Linked DNA regions of Drosophila melanogaster. The protein of the gene in region 4 interacts with the protein of the main gene of each other region in a pairwise test. Each region holds a gene or a part of one and is shown on either strand. Other genes may lie near its edges. The genes, in order: CG14313, CG13067, ssp and CG6576.

The links.
Region 1: the proteins of CG6576 (region 4) and CG14313 interact in a two-hybrid assay, tested with the Drosophila melanogaster proteins (one large-scale study listed by BioGRID).
Region 2: the proteins of CG6576 (region 4) and CG13067 interact in a two-hybrid assay, tested with the Drosophila melanogaster proteins (one large-scale study listed by BioGRID).
Region 3: the proteins of CG6576 (region 4) and ssp interact in a two-hybrid assay, tested with the Drosophila melanogaster proteins (one large-scale study listed by BioGRID).

What each region holds. Positions count from the first base shown.
Region 1 is NT_033777.3:18,190,744-18,194,558, forward strand, and holds CG14313 (uncharacterized protein), read right to left. Parts: upstream 1,225-3,815; 5' UTR 1,061-1,224; coding exon 788-1,060; intron 716-787; coding exon 581-715; 3' UTR 501-580; downstream 1-500. Other genes in the region: MED17 (mediator complex subunit 17), read left to right, coding at 1-302, 366-449.
Region 2 is NT_037436.4:16,269,468-16,272,750, reverse strand, and holds CG13067 (uncharacterized protein), read right to left. Parts: upstream 1,470-3,283; 5' UTR 1,412-1,469; coding exon 1,400-1,411; intron 1,327-1,399; coding exon 1,099-1,326; 3' UTR 833-1,098; downstream 1-832. Other genes in the region: CG34248 (uncharacterized protein), read left to right, coding at 1,953-2,249; CG13068 (uncharacterized protein), read right to left, coding at 2,917-3,234.
Region 3 is NT_037436.4:12,116,500-12,120,704, reverse strand, and holds ssp (sunspot), read right to left. Parts: upstream 2,449-4,205; 5' UTR 2,391-2,448; coding exon 2,079-2,390; intron 2,018-2,078; coding exon 1,794-2,017; intron 1,734-1,793; coding exon 1,163-1,733; 3' UTR 916-1,162; downstream 1-915. Other genes in the region: CG11560 (uncharacterized protein), read right to left, coding at 1-62, 117-623; vers (versatile), read right to left, coding at 2,856-3,268, 3,334-3,461, 3,535-3,941.
Region 4 is NT_037436.4:8,753,925-8,757,974, reverse strand, and holds CG6576 (uncharacterized protein), read right to left. Parts: upstream 1,987-4,050; 5' UTR 1,793-1,986; coding exon 989-1,792; 3' UTR 808-988; downstream 1-807. Other genes in the region: Fhos (formin homology 2 domain containing), read right to left, coding at 3,480-3,500.

The DNA.
Region 1 (3,815 bases), on a different chromosome or scaffold from region 4:
TGATCCTCTGCCAGATCAACTCTCACCAGATCTCCTGCCTGATCAGTCTAGCGCGCTGCATGTCCTGGACCGTGCTGTCGAACAGCAACCACTTGGGTATCGGCAAGGTGGAGCCGCTGGGAAATGCCAGTTCCTGCCTTCTGGCATCTCCCAATAGCGATCGCATGATTGCCGTTCAGATTCGCTGCGATCCGCAGATAGATGTTAAAGTTTATATAGCGAGAAGTCCACGACAGGATTTCTTTCCCAGTCCACTGGTGCCGGAAAAGCTATGGGAGAATCTGGGAGGCACATTCAAGGAGGTGAGTCCACTATTGGAAAGCAGTCGAAAAAAAACAGAGCCATTAATTTTGATTTGTTTCTAGGTGAGGTTCGACAAAATCGAAGGCAAGAGCTTTCTCAACAAAATGGAGTTTCTGATGGCCTCGCTGACAAGTAACACGGCCTGAAAACCCGTCACATGCATACCCACTAGATTGTAAATCAAATTAGAATTAATTAAAGTAAAAAAATTTGTAATTTACATACGAGACTTCTGCTATTGCAATGTTTAGATATAATCTATTGAGGTGCTTTCAGTTCAGTGCATCAGGCTGTAGCTGACGTTGTTCTTCCACAGGCGTGGCTGGTAGTTCATAGACTCCGGCGACATATTGCGCTGCTGCATGATGCTAAAGGTGTCCTCCAGGCTGACCACATTCGCCCGATTGGTGCTCTGCAGACAGAGAGAGATAGAGAGTTGTGTGACCTCCGTACACGGATTACTTCCCTACGAAATTGAACTCACCCAGCGCTCCAGATCGCAGAAGCTGATGTTGTAGTTCTGTCCGCTTGGCTGCAGTGTCATCACCTCCATCTGATCTGCCAGTGGTTGGGCCAGGCGCAGATAGAGTCCACGGTTGGTGGAAAACAGGACGGGTACTCGCTTGGCTGGCGCTGATCCTGCGCCCGTTCCGGCACCTGGAATCTGTCGGTAGGTCGGGCAATGATTGAGCGTAGACACCGCCTCCTCCGGCAGCTGTGCATCGCTGGCGCCGCCAACTGTCCGCATCAGACCCATGCAAGTGTAAAAACAGGACGCCACTTTGCCGCATTTATGGGTCTGGTGGCCGTACTCGATTTACTGATCTCGCTAGCAGCCGCCGGATGAACTTCGCTGTATTTGCATGGTTCCACACACTTCTGCTGAACCTATTGATTTTGTGCAGCGCCAAGCCAAACCAACGTCAACACGCTGCCAGTGTCCAGTCGCTGTGTGTATCCAGCTCCCACCATTTGTATGGGCCACAATCGAACGGCCGGTTGCCCCGACAACCTGGTGGTAGCCCTACACCCGTTCCCTGACCGCTCGCTGGTGTTCATTCATTAGGCATGTGCGTGTGCCGGACCAATTGTCTCAGCCAGAGCCAGATAGGCAGATAGTCAAGCCAGCCAGCCGGCCACACGCGTTTCTGCAAAATTGTTCAATTACTGCCAGCGGGAACTGAAATCTCTTTGATGATGTATGCAATCAGCAGATTGGCTCCAACTGGCGGTGTTGTGATTGCAAATAGCAGGCGATTATGGATGACCAAGTGGATGTTGTGGCTAAATCAATGTTAAGCTGTCACTATCCCTCGGAGAATAGTTATGATCACTAAGATCACCTACATATCTTCTAATTAAATGGTATCTTATAGATACTCTAACTTTAAAATCCTAGTTTTAGAATCCATTTTGAAACCCTTAAAAAAAACGCTTCTATTTCTTTACTTTTTACAAATATTGTTTTAAAACTTTATTTCATTTTTATATTATATTGTTGTTGTTTTGTTTGTGTTGTGTACTTGTAAATTGTATAATTAACACTAAAATACTTATTTAAACATATTCCATATTCAATCGGTTTTTTGTTTTGTATTCCCTTCATTATTTTTTTTCGATTTTTCCGTGTTACTTTTTGCAATTTTTTTGTTTTTATTATTTGTTGTTGGGGCGACTTATACCTTTTGTTTACTTAATTCCGCTCCATTACACTTATATAATTTATTTTTTTTGTTTGTGGTTTTTATAGATCCAGCAATTGAAACGCTCAAACCCAAAGCGTTAGTAAATAAATTTAACTTAGTCACTATTTAAGTTTTTTCGCTTGCATTCCATACTATAATTTAGATATAATTCATGCAGCACATACTATAAATTTCTCCACTCCGCTCTCGATCGTATTATAAATTCCGACACATTAAACATATACAATATTTAAAATAGACTTTTCCATTTTTCTTGTTTAATTAATTTATCAATTGATTTGTGTGTGTGTGTGTGTGGGTGTGTGTAGTTTGTGGTGTGTGTGTCTGTGTTTTGCTCCAAAGAAATTAGTTTCTCCGTTTGTGTATATATTCCTTTTGATTTGTTTATGTTGCTGGGCTTATAGATTAGCTTCGTTTCTAATGCTACTATAGGGGTTCGGGATCGGGTTGGTTGGTTGGTTGGTTTCTCTATGAATGCTAAGTGTGCTGCTGTATCGCTAAAAGGATGCTAGCACAGACATATACAATGTGTATATATTAGATTTATTTATATATATATATATGTTTTATGCACTTTAAGACTTTTGTTTGTACAGCATTCAAGTTAAGTGTGATATTTGAAGTAAACTTTTCATTAGATTATGATTTCTACAATTGTTTGCTGCATCTGCGCTGCTTTTTTGCTTTACGAAATATATATTATATACTTTTATATGCATATTAAACAGCTAAATCTTATAGTTATACGCGTAGCTATTTTGCAATAAATTAGTGCATACAATAGGCTACATCTGTATCGGCTTCTGCTTCTGTCTATATATATATAAGGTTTACATATAGCTAGCTTTTCATATAATTTTCATTCGCTGCCCTAATGCACACACAATGCCGTCGTGAGGAAATCGAAACGAGTGCAAACTGCTGCCGCTCTCCAAAGTGAGGAAAATCGTACAGTACATATCGCATTGTATCTCATGCTCATGCCATACAAATGGTATTATTGCTCGCCGTTTGGAAGGAACTTAAATAACGATTTTCATTTTAGTTGTTTGGTTAAAATATATATAAATACATACGAACGCATATACACGACAAATGGTTGAGACAAAAAGACACAAAACAATACAACAAATACGTTTTTTGAACGAAACAAACCAAACAAACAGACGGCAGACTGAATAGCGTAAGCGTAAGGAAACAAACGGACGCGTTCACAATTTGTACAATTAGAGTTGAGAATTGAATCGAAAACGAATAAAATTTGGGCCAAGCCAAACGATCTAGACACATTGACCACATTTTGTAAAATGGAGCGCAGTTCAAGATGAGTGCACGTGAATGAGTGTGGTTGGTTACAGACTATCTCCATATACAAGTCCAATAATGCTAACTATATACTCCAACTAGGTATTATGTATATCATTTTAATTATACCATTCATATGCTTGCTTTCGTTTTGCTGCCTTGCTAAGATAAAAAAAAAAAACAAAAACAATTGAACTGCGATTATGTGGTATGGTCTGATTTCTACATGAGCAAGTGAATTGAATCGGTATTATTGGGATCTTGGGAGTTTGCAGTGAGGTGAGTGCTTGCAACAACTAAACTAAACACAAGGCTCACTAAACTTGTTGCATACATGTTTAACATTACTTTAAGCAAACAGTCGAATGTCCGCAAGGCGAACTATATTCGTTACATAGATCTAGTCCGACTTACGAATATTCGACCGCATTTGTTTGTTCATTACGATTACAGTTTTTGTTGCTTGGTTTTGTTTTCATTACATTTCAGTATTATCTCAAG
Region 2 (3,283 bases), 7.5 Mb from region 4:
GCAGATTTGTGTTTGTCGATATGCCTGCGAATAGTACGCATTCCTTGTGAATTTATTATTGAAAATGAATGTTTTTTCCCGCTCATCTTGAGCATTTCCGCAACTGGCGTCAGCAGCTGTCGTTTGCCGATTGAATTATCATAATTTAGCACTCAGTGCGTTTTGTGGGCTGTGAACGTGCGTGTCATTCCAACCGTCTTGGCCATCTCCGGAGTTCGGCTCACTCTGTACGTTTCAATTGTCAGCCACTCGAACACGCCACTTTGCATTCTAATCAGAGATGCAAGTAAAAATAGAAGCGGTTTATCCAGTTTCGAAGGACGTCATCGAGTTGAGCCCTTGGCTTAAGGTTGAGGACACCAGAAACAGGGAATCGAAAGCTTTGCATAAATGGAATCGCGAGTTCAATAAACCGGAGGTCTCGTTGACCCTATTAATCCAATGCAAACATGGACATTCCACCACGAAGAACACAACCTCCTTTACACTTCCTTTTTTTTTAACAAATAATAGGTTTTAAGTCCAAAAAATAATTTCCAATGTATCAAAGCAATTTATTGATACAAAGCTTAAAAAAGTCATTGATTCCTTCCAGCCCACCAAAATTAAAAAATGTAGGGGCTAGCAATTTATGAAACTAGTGTGAGAAATATTTACTGAAAATATGATATCACCTACTTTATAAATAATATTTCCATTGGATTTTAATGTATACCAAATTTAGTACTTAGTACCCATTGCAAAAGAGTACTGCCTAAAAGTATGTGATTATACATACTCCCTTCACATTAGAGATGAATAAGTGATGCAATAAATTATGAACAAGTGGTATACGTTTTACGCAAAATGCAGTATTTATTTCAACAAAAATATTCCCTTTCTTGAAGTGGTATGTCCTGTTCCCATGACTTAACTTTCAGCAGTCGGCAGAGGTGGGGAAATGTAGAGTCTGTCGAACTAACACCAGGGATGTAAGAAGATTGGATGTTGCAGGTGGTTAGCAGGAAGGTGTGTATCCTTGTTGCAATAGATGTGTATATGTTTATATTCAGGTCCAGTTCAGCAGTCAGGTTAAGATCACGATCCATTCATCCAGTCTTAACGGTAGTAGGCGGCATAGGGGTAGGCGGAGTAGGCGGACGCATAGGGGTACGTGTAGGCGGAGTAGGCGGCGGCCACTGGAGCGGTGTATGCCGCGGTGTAGGCAGCCGAGTAAGGAGCAGCTGCCACATAGGGAGCGGAGTAGGCGCTGTAGGCCAGAGGAGAAGCGAGCACCGCCGGCTTGGCAGAGACGCAGGCCACGATGGCGAACAGGCACAGAGCGAACTGAAAGGATAGGAAAAGTGCTTATGAGTAATCCGTTGTTTGGTGGCAAGTCCAGCTATCCTGCGATCCTTACGTATTTGAACATGTTGGCTGTTTGGGTTGGTTGTGAACTGTTGGTTCTCAAGTACTAGACTGATATCTCCTAGTGCCCGAGTACTCGGGTATATATAGCAGAATCGGTCGAGAAAATTCCATTCCAATTCCCCACATTGAAGCGAAGGTGATGCGTGGCCATTGGTATGCACATCCATTCCCAGATCGGTTCCAAGTCCATTTTGAAGCCAGCCAAGGAGAATCTTGAGCATTATGGCTTTGCACTTTTGGTTTCGTTTGGTATTTTTAAAAGCGTGACGAAAAGCGAAAAACAAATCGAATGTGAGTCCGTGTTTTGCATACTAAAACGTAGCTGGATATTGATCCATCCATCGGCAAGTCTGGAAATGACCCACAAAAACTGCCGGGTTGGGTTCAGAAATTTATAAAGCTGGGTTCTGTCGCTCCAGTCATGTTTATTTCGTTTTCAGAACGTTGAGCTATCAGATCTTATCAGCTCGGATTAGCTATGTACAGGAAATTAGTAAGTCTCAAGCGGTTATCCGCCGAGAAGTCGATGCACTTGCTCAAAGATGATGAGGCCTCGCCATCGGTGGCCATTTCAGGTGGTGCTCCTCCTTCTGATCCACCTGGCGGCCGCGGGTCAGATCCAGGATGCTGCCGAGGAGATCGATGTGCCGCCTGCCCATCGGGCTGCTCCACCACCGCCCCGCCAGGCAGCTGGAGCTGCTGTTCCCCCACCACCACTGGGGCCACCACCACTTGTGGGCTCTGCACCGCCGCCGAGCTATCCTTTGTTCTACCCAGCTGCGTGGCTGCCATTCGGACGCTACAGCAACTCCATTCCCGTCCACATAGTGGCTGCCTAGGGGAGCGTCCTCCCACTGGCCATAAGGTGGTCAAAGGACACTGTTGTCCCTCCTGTTGAATCCTTTCCCTGTTATGGTTGCTATTTTACTCGTTATTGCCCGCTTTAAGCCAGAAATATATTTTTAGACACGCACATGCATAATTATTTATTCGGGTTGACGCAACTTTCAGTCGGCAATTTTTAAATGGCCAACACGTGATTCTCCTACCAGAGATGCCGGTTACCTATACATTTCGAGAAATCTATCACTTTTGCCATCTGTGATTTGTCAATGGATGATGACGCAACTGAATTGGTATTTTTTCGGGCTACATTTCCGCATTTTAAGTGGGCAGAACAGACGCTGCCAGAACAAAAGGTTTAGAAAAGGTGACAGTAAAAAAATATTAATTATAAAAAACGTATATGTTTAGGTGACTTTCTTTTTAAATACTATCAAGAACTTTTGTTGCCGCCAAAAGATTGAGAAATAATAATTAATAGTAGAAAATCCATTAAAAAGTATTAATAATATATAACTATAGCTTTTTTGCTATTGAAAAACAGAACTTGGTGTTCCCATTTCCAGAATAATATTTTTAAGCTTTTAGTTTGATTTGTTTTATTGCCAGTCGGGTCTATTTTTATTCCATTTCAAATCCGTTTTGAATACTTGTTAATCCGTTTTACAAAACAGTGGTGTATGCAGCGCTGTAAGGGTAGGCGGCATACGGATAAGCAGAGTAGGCAGCGGCAACTGGAGCGGTATAAGCAGCGGCGGCAACTGGAGCGGTATAGGCAGCGGCGGCAACTGGAGCGGTGTAGGCAGCGGCAACAACTGGAGCAGCAGCCACACCGTTGAAGTTGCGGGCCACGTACTGCGAACTGGTAGCGGTGACCACGCCGGCAGGAGCAGCTGCAACCACTGGAGCGGCGGCCAGGATAGCGGGCTTGGGCTCAGCCGAGGAGCAGGCCACCAGAGCGCACAGGACAACGAGGGCAGACTGTACGGAAATAACCAGTTAATATAATACTCCAGATATCTGTATCCAT
Region 3 (4,205 bases), 3.4 Mb from region 4:
TTCAGCAGGGGTCTGGAGTGGGAGGATTCCAATTCACGTTTTGATTTCAGCTGCAGGATAATCTAAATTATGTAGTTTCAGCTTGACTTGTATGGGTATAAAAGTGCAGTACTTACAGTCTGCTCCTCCTCCAAAGAAGCCTCAATCTCATCATCCAGATCGCTGTACTGGGTCTCCGGATCCATGGTGACCTCATAGAACTGCTCACACTGCGTAGAATAGGATGTCGGCCGCCTGGTCTTCGGTTTCTGGACGCGCGGCGACGGTTGGCTAGCTGGTGGCGCGGGATCATGGTCGTAGGAGTGACTGCCGTCGGTGAGATGGCCGTTCTGCTTGATATACCGTACGTGGCACTTGTGGATGCGCAGATTGGAGGTGGTGCCGCCGGTGCTCTGCATCACACGCTTGCAGCCCATGCAGAAGTATCGCCATTTCAACTTGGTGCCGTCCGGACGAGCGATTTCCCGGTAGACGTTCCAAACGGAACTGCGCTTGTTCTTCTTCACCAGCCGATATTCACCGGAGTTGATCTTCATAAGGATGTCCAGCTGCGCCTCCATGCACTTCTCCTCCTCGGGGGCGTGTATGAAAAACATATTTCGCCTCGCAATCCTTATGGTCATAGTAAAAAAAATTAAAAACACAGAGCTCCGAACCAGGTGGCATCACCGGTGAGTTGGTTGCGATGTTCGATTACAATCGATATCGACATTCTATGTAATACCATGTATCGAATTTAATTTAATAGGAAAAGAAAAAATATTAACCACACAATTAAAAAAATAAAATACATATAATGTCATCTACAACAAATATTCTAAAACCAATCAAATTAATAGTTATTTCACTACTTTTCGTTTCAAATTTCAGATATACATGGTTTATATATAAATAAATTATATAAACGGCGAAGATATTACGACTTCATTTTATTAAATCTTAAACATATCTGCTGAATTGTAATAAAACGCAATGAATCACAAATCATTTTATACTTATTCGTATTTGAAATAAAAAATTGAGTGACTGCCGAAATGAGATATTTAAACTTTCTGTTACATGATTTTTTTAAAAATTCGTTGAATGTGATGCCTTTTAAGTTTACGTTAATAACGGTGGAAATGAACTTTATTGTGCAATCACTCAAATCGCGAACAGGTATTTATGCATGTGCGCCGCCTTTGGGATTAGATAGAAGATCCATGAAGTCCTTATGAAACGACGACATCTCTCGCACGAAAAATTTCATCAGTTTGCATTTTTTCCTCTCTATGACCAGCTTTTCCTCCTCTATTTCCATAATTCTGGCAGCTCTTTGACGCTTAGCAATTTTCATGTCCTCGGTCTTGGAATTCTGTTGATCGAGCTCGTCTTCATAGTTTTCCTGGGAATGAACTGTGGACGACTCTTCGATTTCCCTGATTATGTTATCCTTCAGAATACGCAGTTCATCCACGTCTTCTTGTGCTTCATCCGCATATTCGTTCATATCGAAGCTATCCCCTTCTCCAGGGTGTACTTTTTGGGACCTTAAGTAGTTCCTATCTATCAATGGTTCGTCAAGTTGACTGCCAAATGAATTGTGTTCGCTGGTCGTATTGGGTGCACTTCCAGACTTATCCAGAGGCATATTGTCAATTATGTTACGATCGGAACTAAATATCATCTTCATGGTCTCGAAGTATTCCCACTGGGATTTGTGTCCAGTTGTCTTTTCCATGTGCGATTCTCGCCTGAAATAAATTGTAATATTAGATAAGGAATATGCTTAAATAAGTATATTCACTTATTACCGATACTGTTGGCCCATGTCATCAATTTTGTTCTTTATCTCCGTGAACGTGAAACCCAGTGACTTCATCTCGCCCGTCATTTTCCAGATAACCTGGACCCGCTTGCGTGAGTCTCGCAAATCGACGCAGTGCCTTGCCCAAAGCTCGAGCAGCAGTTCGACCGCGTGGAATGACCACTCGGACGGCTGAAAGGAGTTCCAGCTCAGGCGGCGCTCCAACGAATCCTGCAAGTGAGACATGGTAATTTGGACTACTATTGACTTCTAATGGCGTCGTTGTACGTACGTCTAGTTTAGGGGGATGGATTTCCGCGATCCCCTCCTCGCACAGTTCCTCGGTACGCAGGTAGTCCACATGGCACTTGTGGGTGCGCAGATTGGACGTGTTGAAGGATCGCATGACGCGCTTGCAGCCCGTGCAGAAGTAGAGTCCATTGATTATGGCACCATCGGTGCGCACGATTTCCCGATACACCTTCCACACGGAGCCGCGCTGCTTGCGTCGTAGTAGCCGGTACTCGCCGCGGAGCACCTTCGCCGAGATCACCTGGTTGGATTCGAATTTTGATACGTCCTGCATCGTGCGGGCCTCAATCATGTCGTCCTTACGCTCGAAAAGTATAAACAAAATGTGCCTAGAGATGGGCAGCAGCTCGATATCGATTTTTCTAGAAATGGTCGGTATTGGCTTCATATATCTATCGATAGTTCTATGATATCGATTTAAATTATATCTAAAATACAAATAAAAAAACATTTTACGAATTGAGAAACTAAATGTAACAAATACGATTTAAAACAAATTTATAATATTAAAGTAAAGTAAGTAATTAAAGTTTTGCTAAAAAAAGTAAAATATAATTTCATTGCATTTATTTTTACTTAAGAAACTAATTTGTAAGATCATAACAATGCAAAATCTAGCTTTTTACAATATATATATATATATTTAGATTAATTTGAAGTTGAAGCAATATTACATTAAATATTCACTGTTTTAGTTGTATATTTTGCTGAAAAAGTAACACCACGCTACTTCTACGTATAACACTTAATATTTACACTACTGATTGTTATGCTTAAGCAAATAAACAATATCTTTGTGAAATGCGTTTAGCTCCAGCAGTGCATCCTTCATAACCTGCAGCTTTTCTCGCTCGATCGCCAGTTTTTCCTCCTCTATTTCAAGGAGTCTGTCCGAATGGTTGTTCGATGCTTTCCGTTTTGTCTGACATTTTGAAATTGGCGATGGGGAGAGATCCTTCATGTGGTCATCATCCTCCTCCTCCTCCTCCTCCTCCTCGTCTTCTTCCGGGATTTCCGGAATACTGGGAGAGGGAGTTCGCGTTCTTTTCATGGCTTTGCTAGCAACCATATCACTTTCGAATACGTTCCCATCGTCCCCGGCCATAGGCTCGTCTTTTAATGAAGACAATTCCTCAGGCTCATAATCCTCATCGCTGAACAAAGCTTGAGCTGTAAAATTAGCGTATTTTTAAGACATAATGACATAACTAGCATTTATTGCACTACGACTTTACCTGGATTTTCGGCGGTAATATCTTCGAAGACATCAACTGATTTCGTGCCAATCAGAAGTGCTTGAAGCTTATGAAAGTGCTCCCACTTGGATGGCACTCCAGTTTCCCGAACTCTCTCAGCTTCTATTCTGTAAATACCAATATAAAAGTTAATATACTATAAAAATAAAAACTTTTGGTATGCAAAATATAAGAGCGCACCTATACTTTCGCGACAAATTGTCCATTTTGGTTTTAAGCTCCGTGTGGCTGGGCCCAAACTGACTCATCTCCCTAGCCATTTGCCGGTAGATGATCACATTCTTGGACTCTCCACGAAAATCCTTCAAATGCTGTGCCCACAGTTGCAGCAACATCTTCTCCGCATCCTTTTTCCAAACGTGTCGCTCCGTTTTCGTATAGTAGTCCTCAAACTTTTCCTCCTTGCCAACATTCTTGGGCAATGGCGAGATGCCATTGGCTCGGATCGCTGGCTCAACGACCATTTTCTGTGCAACGTTTATCTTGGCGGTTCGCTGTGGTCCCGTCGGTGATCCTTCATCGCTCAACAGGGCTTGGAGTGAGCTCTTCATGCGCGGTCCTGGCTTACGACGTTCTGGTGTTATATTCTAGAAGAGTTAGTTGGTTTAGAAGCATGGTTACTGAGTGATTAATTAGAATTTTAGTATGTTCGCTAGTGGTCCATGTTGGACTATGTAACTGAAGTGGACTTTCATACAGAAATTAGGTCAAATTTGATATCCTATCACATGTTTTAACGAATCTCGCTTTGTAGTGCCAAAACACATTATGAAAAGGTAAACAGGTCTATTGCCACCCATGTGGGATAGGTAAACAAGATATTTGGTGTGTGGCTGTACTCGGTAAAACCG
Region 4 (4,050 bases):
AATTGGCGAGCGAGCGAGAGGGAGTGAGGAAGAAAGAAAGACAGACAGTCTCGGCTAATTGTTTTCGCTCAGTGAAATGGAATGCCAAACACACAAATAGCCAACAATGTGCAAAACAAGCAAACGGAGACACTCAGCCGGAGGAGAAAAAGAGTGGAGGATCGTGATGGTGTGGATGTGGATGGGCCTATGGATCTTCTCTGGAATGACTTCGCCATGTGTACTTTGTTCACCGCCGATTCCAGCGGAGTGCTGCACTTCTGACAGCATTATTATGCGGTCTCAATTAGGAGATTGCAGAATCTCGGAGTCTGCAGATCAGGAGCAGGATGCGCTATAATGCGCCTGTCTGTCAGTAGCCACAGCCCATTAAGAACGACCAGGAAAGCCATCCACTCACAAAGTATTTAGACTGTGACCCCAGATGATTCGAAGTGGCGACTGAATATTCGCTTGCCAGACAAATGATTTATTTTTAAATACGTTTTCTATTGTAGTTTGCTCTGACGAAAGTGTCGAAAATGCGTTTCGGGAAACTCAACTATGTGGAGATCGGCGCTTAAAAGGATAATGAAATATTCAACCCCAGAAAGTCGTTCAAACATAAATTTCCAAACAAATTAAATTAGTTAATCTGAAAATTATAGTGATTATAACCAATTTATGAGTTATAATCAATTCCGAGCTTATTCATTTTCGATATTTTCCGAATGTTTATTAATTTTTTTCGATATTTACATATATGTACTAAATCGAACCTTATTTTAAATAACTAAATCGCACTTTTTTTCGTAACAAATAATTATTCCCGTTTTTACTCCTCAGCCAATTCTATATTTAAAGCCAAACAAGTTCTTATACAGAAGGGCTACCAATTCACGAAGATCAACAATTTTACCAAGTATTCAAAGATCTAACCAACTGCCAAATTGCTATTCTATTTGGGACTAGTCTTTCTTTTTTATCCTTGGCGCCGATTCCAAATGTGTTATCTATACTGATTATCATCTCGATCCGTTTCCGGATCTTCAGTCAAATCAGTAGTTGGCGGTGGATCCGTTTCCGTATCTGGATCGGATTTCGTAAACTCATCCGGTTCAAGACTGCCCACAAGTCCCAGATCTTGGGTCTCTGGCTCAAATGGATCCCAACACGGAGCCTTCGGTGGTTCATTGATAATCGAATCACGCATGGCACGCATTCCCATCTCAAGGGCGCAGTCCATGGAATTTCTGTCAGGTGGTTCGCGGGTTAGAGGCCCATTGAAATGCACATAAATGTCTCCCTGGGCAGCCAAATCTAGTCCGTAGGTGGTTAGATCCTCACCAAAGACCAGCTGCGTGGCGCCCGGATCCGTTTGCGTAGTCCTCATGGCGGCCAGCAGCCCAATGATCCCAAATTGATCTGACAGCATCGTGGCCGGAATATTAGTGAATTTCCCATCGTCTGTACTACGTATTCCCGCGGCATTTGTGTTCGTTGAGGAGGAGGTAGATGCCACCTCGGGCTCCTGCAACACTGATTCATAAGAGGGCTGACCAAAAAGATCAGCAAACGTGGGCATCGACGGCTGGCGATCGTAGAGTTCCGGGAAGAGTTTGTAATCCGATTCGATTTCAGATTCTACGCTCGAAGTGCTGACGACTTCCGGTGGCTCTTCGCTGGGCGGATCCGGCAAGGGCGGTGGACGTTGTGGCTCTACCTTTTCTGCACTGGGTGCAGTCTCCTGTTTCTTCTTTCTCAGCGCTATCGAGGGATTCACCTTACATCGTGGACGTCGACGCCGTGTCATTTTTTATCTTTTTATCAAAAAATGTCCTTGACTTGTGTCTGTGTTCGAGTGTTGTGGGGGGCTTGGGTGGCAGTTGGGTGGACGGGTGAGTGTGCGTGGATAATCTCGGACTCAGATAGCTTGATTCATAAATCCTTATCTCGAAGCCTATTTGAGAAGCGCCTATCACCGCCTTCCTTTGTGCTACACTACAACAAATTTTGATCTGTTTTGATGAATAATTCAAATGAAAACTGATTGTGATCGCATTGTGTGTGACGAGTAGAGATATTTCTAATGAAATCAATAATCGAAACAATGTTTAATCATTACCGCTTTCGCTAATACATTATGAATATAAATTTAGTTATATGATAATATATACTTATTTTTTTTGAATATGAAGTTAAAAGCTTTAGTTATATTTGCAACTTTATTGTTTCTCCATTACCGTTCCCCTACTTTCTCCCCTCACAAACAAATTGCATGAGTATTCACACTTTGTTAATTAATTAGGTGGTGCGTGCTCTCACCGGAGAACTTTCAACTTTATGCTTGTCATAAATATTTACAACTTCCTTCTGGCCATAAAAATCCTACACAAAGTACCAACTCCAATGAGGAAAAAAGAGACTGCGTCAACGTGAACGAAACAGAAATCATTTTGCTTTACTCCCAACATTTTTAGAAACATTCTATATATAATTGGAGAAATGACTCGGGAGAAGATGAAGTGGTAGATGTGCGTGGGATGGGGTGGAAACTTGTTGTTTGCCGCCCATAAATTGATCAGTTTATTAGATTCTAAGACCCGAAAAATATTTAATTGATTTATGCTCAATGAGTCAAAAGTCAGGCTAAAGTCATAAACTGGATGCCTGGGAACAAAAGGATATAATGAGTTGAACATAAAGGGGATTAGTAGAAAGCGATTTGGAAGTTTGGGAATGACAACCGAAATTAAGTGTATTTATATTATAGGATAGATATAGAAATAATGCACTTTTTATATAAAAGTTCACAAGTATCACATGATGTCGAACGGGTTAATAATATAAATAAATATGATGATAAGTTCAATAAATAACACAAAATGTTTACTTGGGAACTGTCAGTCATTGGTCAGTATCAATAATGAATCTGCCATAAAGTATGTCAAATAACTCAAAATTAATTCCTTTGACAACTGTGCATATACGCAAATACTAACATAAATCAAGTTAAATAGGTTTAAAATTCGGAACTTAACCTGCTTTGCCAAAGTAAAAGCCATTTATTCATGCATTGGTTTGCTATTCAAACACAACAATTCGTTCATTCAGTAGCCACACCTCGGCCATAATTTGTGCTATTTGTGTGGATAGGAAATTAGAACAATCAACTAGACACAAATCCCAACCAAAAAACCAGACAATGAGCAAATTTGTATCTAAATTGTTTATCAATGGATCTGGAGCCCACACCACATCGAGAGCGAACATTCAGATACATTTTATCTGCCATATAAAACGTATACGTATGTATCTGCGAAATACTCTTGTGTGTGGGGTAAGGCAACAAATTAGAAATAAACAAAATCCGTGGATGCGAAGAATTGCAAAAAGGCACAGAGCGAAGATACAAAGATCGAGATACACACTATATAGTACGAGTAGGTATTATGCAGATACAGATACGGATAGTTGGCGCTGCATTAACTAGTACTTACATAACTGCGGTAGGACGACATTACGTTGCTCTTGGCAAGCGATCCTCGATCGCAGATCGGATCAAAATTCGGTCACAATGTATGTTTATCGCCCTTTCAAAATTGGTGTATAATTTATTTTGGTATGGCCTGGGTTTGGTAATCCAATCTGGCAAACACTCGCGCGAGATCGAAACGGAGGAACTCGAACCGCTGACGACAATTACGAAAACGTATCTGCCGGATGCCGACTCTCAATTGCAATAGATGCAAAATAAATTAGATGCACTTACTGAAATCGCGCGCGTGCGACAAATTTCTACGACACTCTCTCTGCATTCCCCTATTTTATTCAATTTTATTTTATTGTATTTATTTCTTTTCTGCTAAGTAAACTATTATTTCCTTTGCTTTTATTTGCGCTGGGCGATACTCCGAGATCGGTATCGGGATCGGCCGTGTGTCACTTTACATAATCCACCGGCACGCACCGGGCAGGTTTGGGATATATACTGTCGATGCCTATAGGGCATACGAGCAGATATAGACTATAGCGCCCCGATCTATTTGGGAATGCAGCCGGCGAATGCGA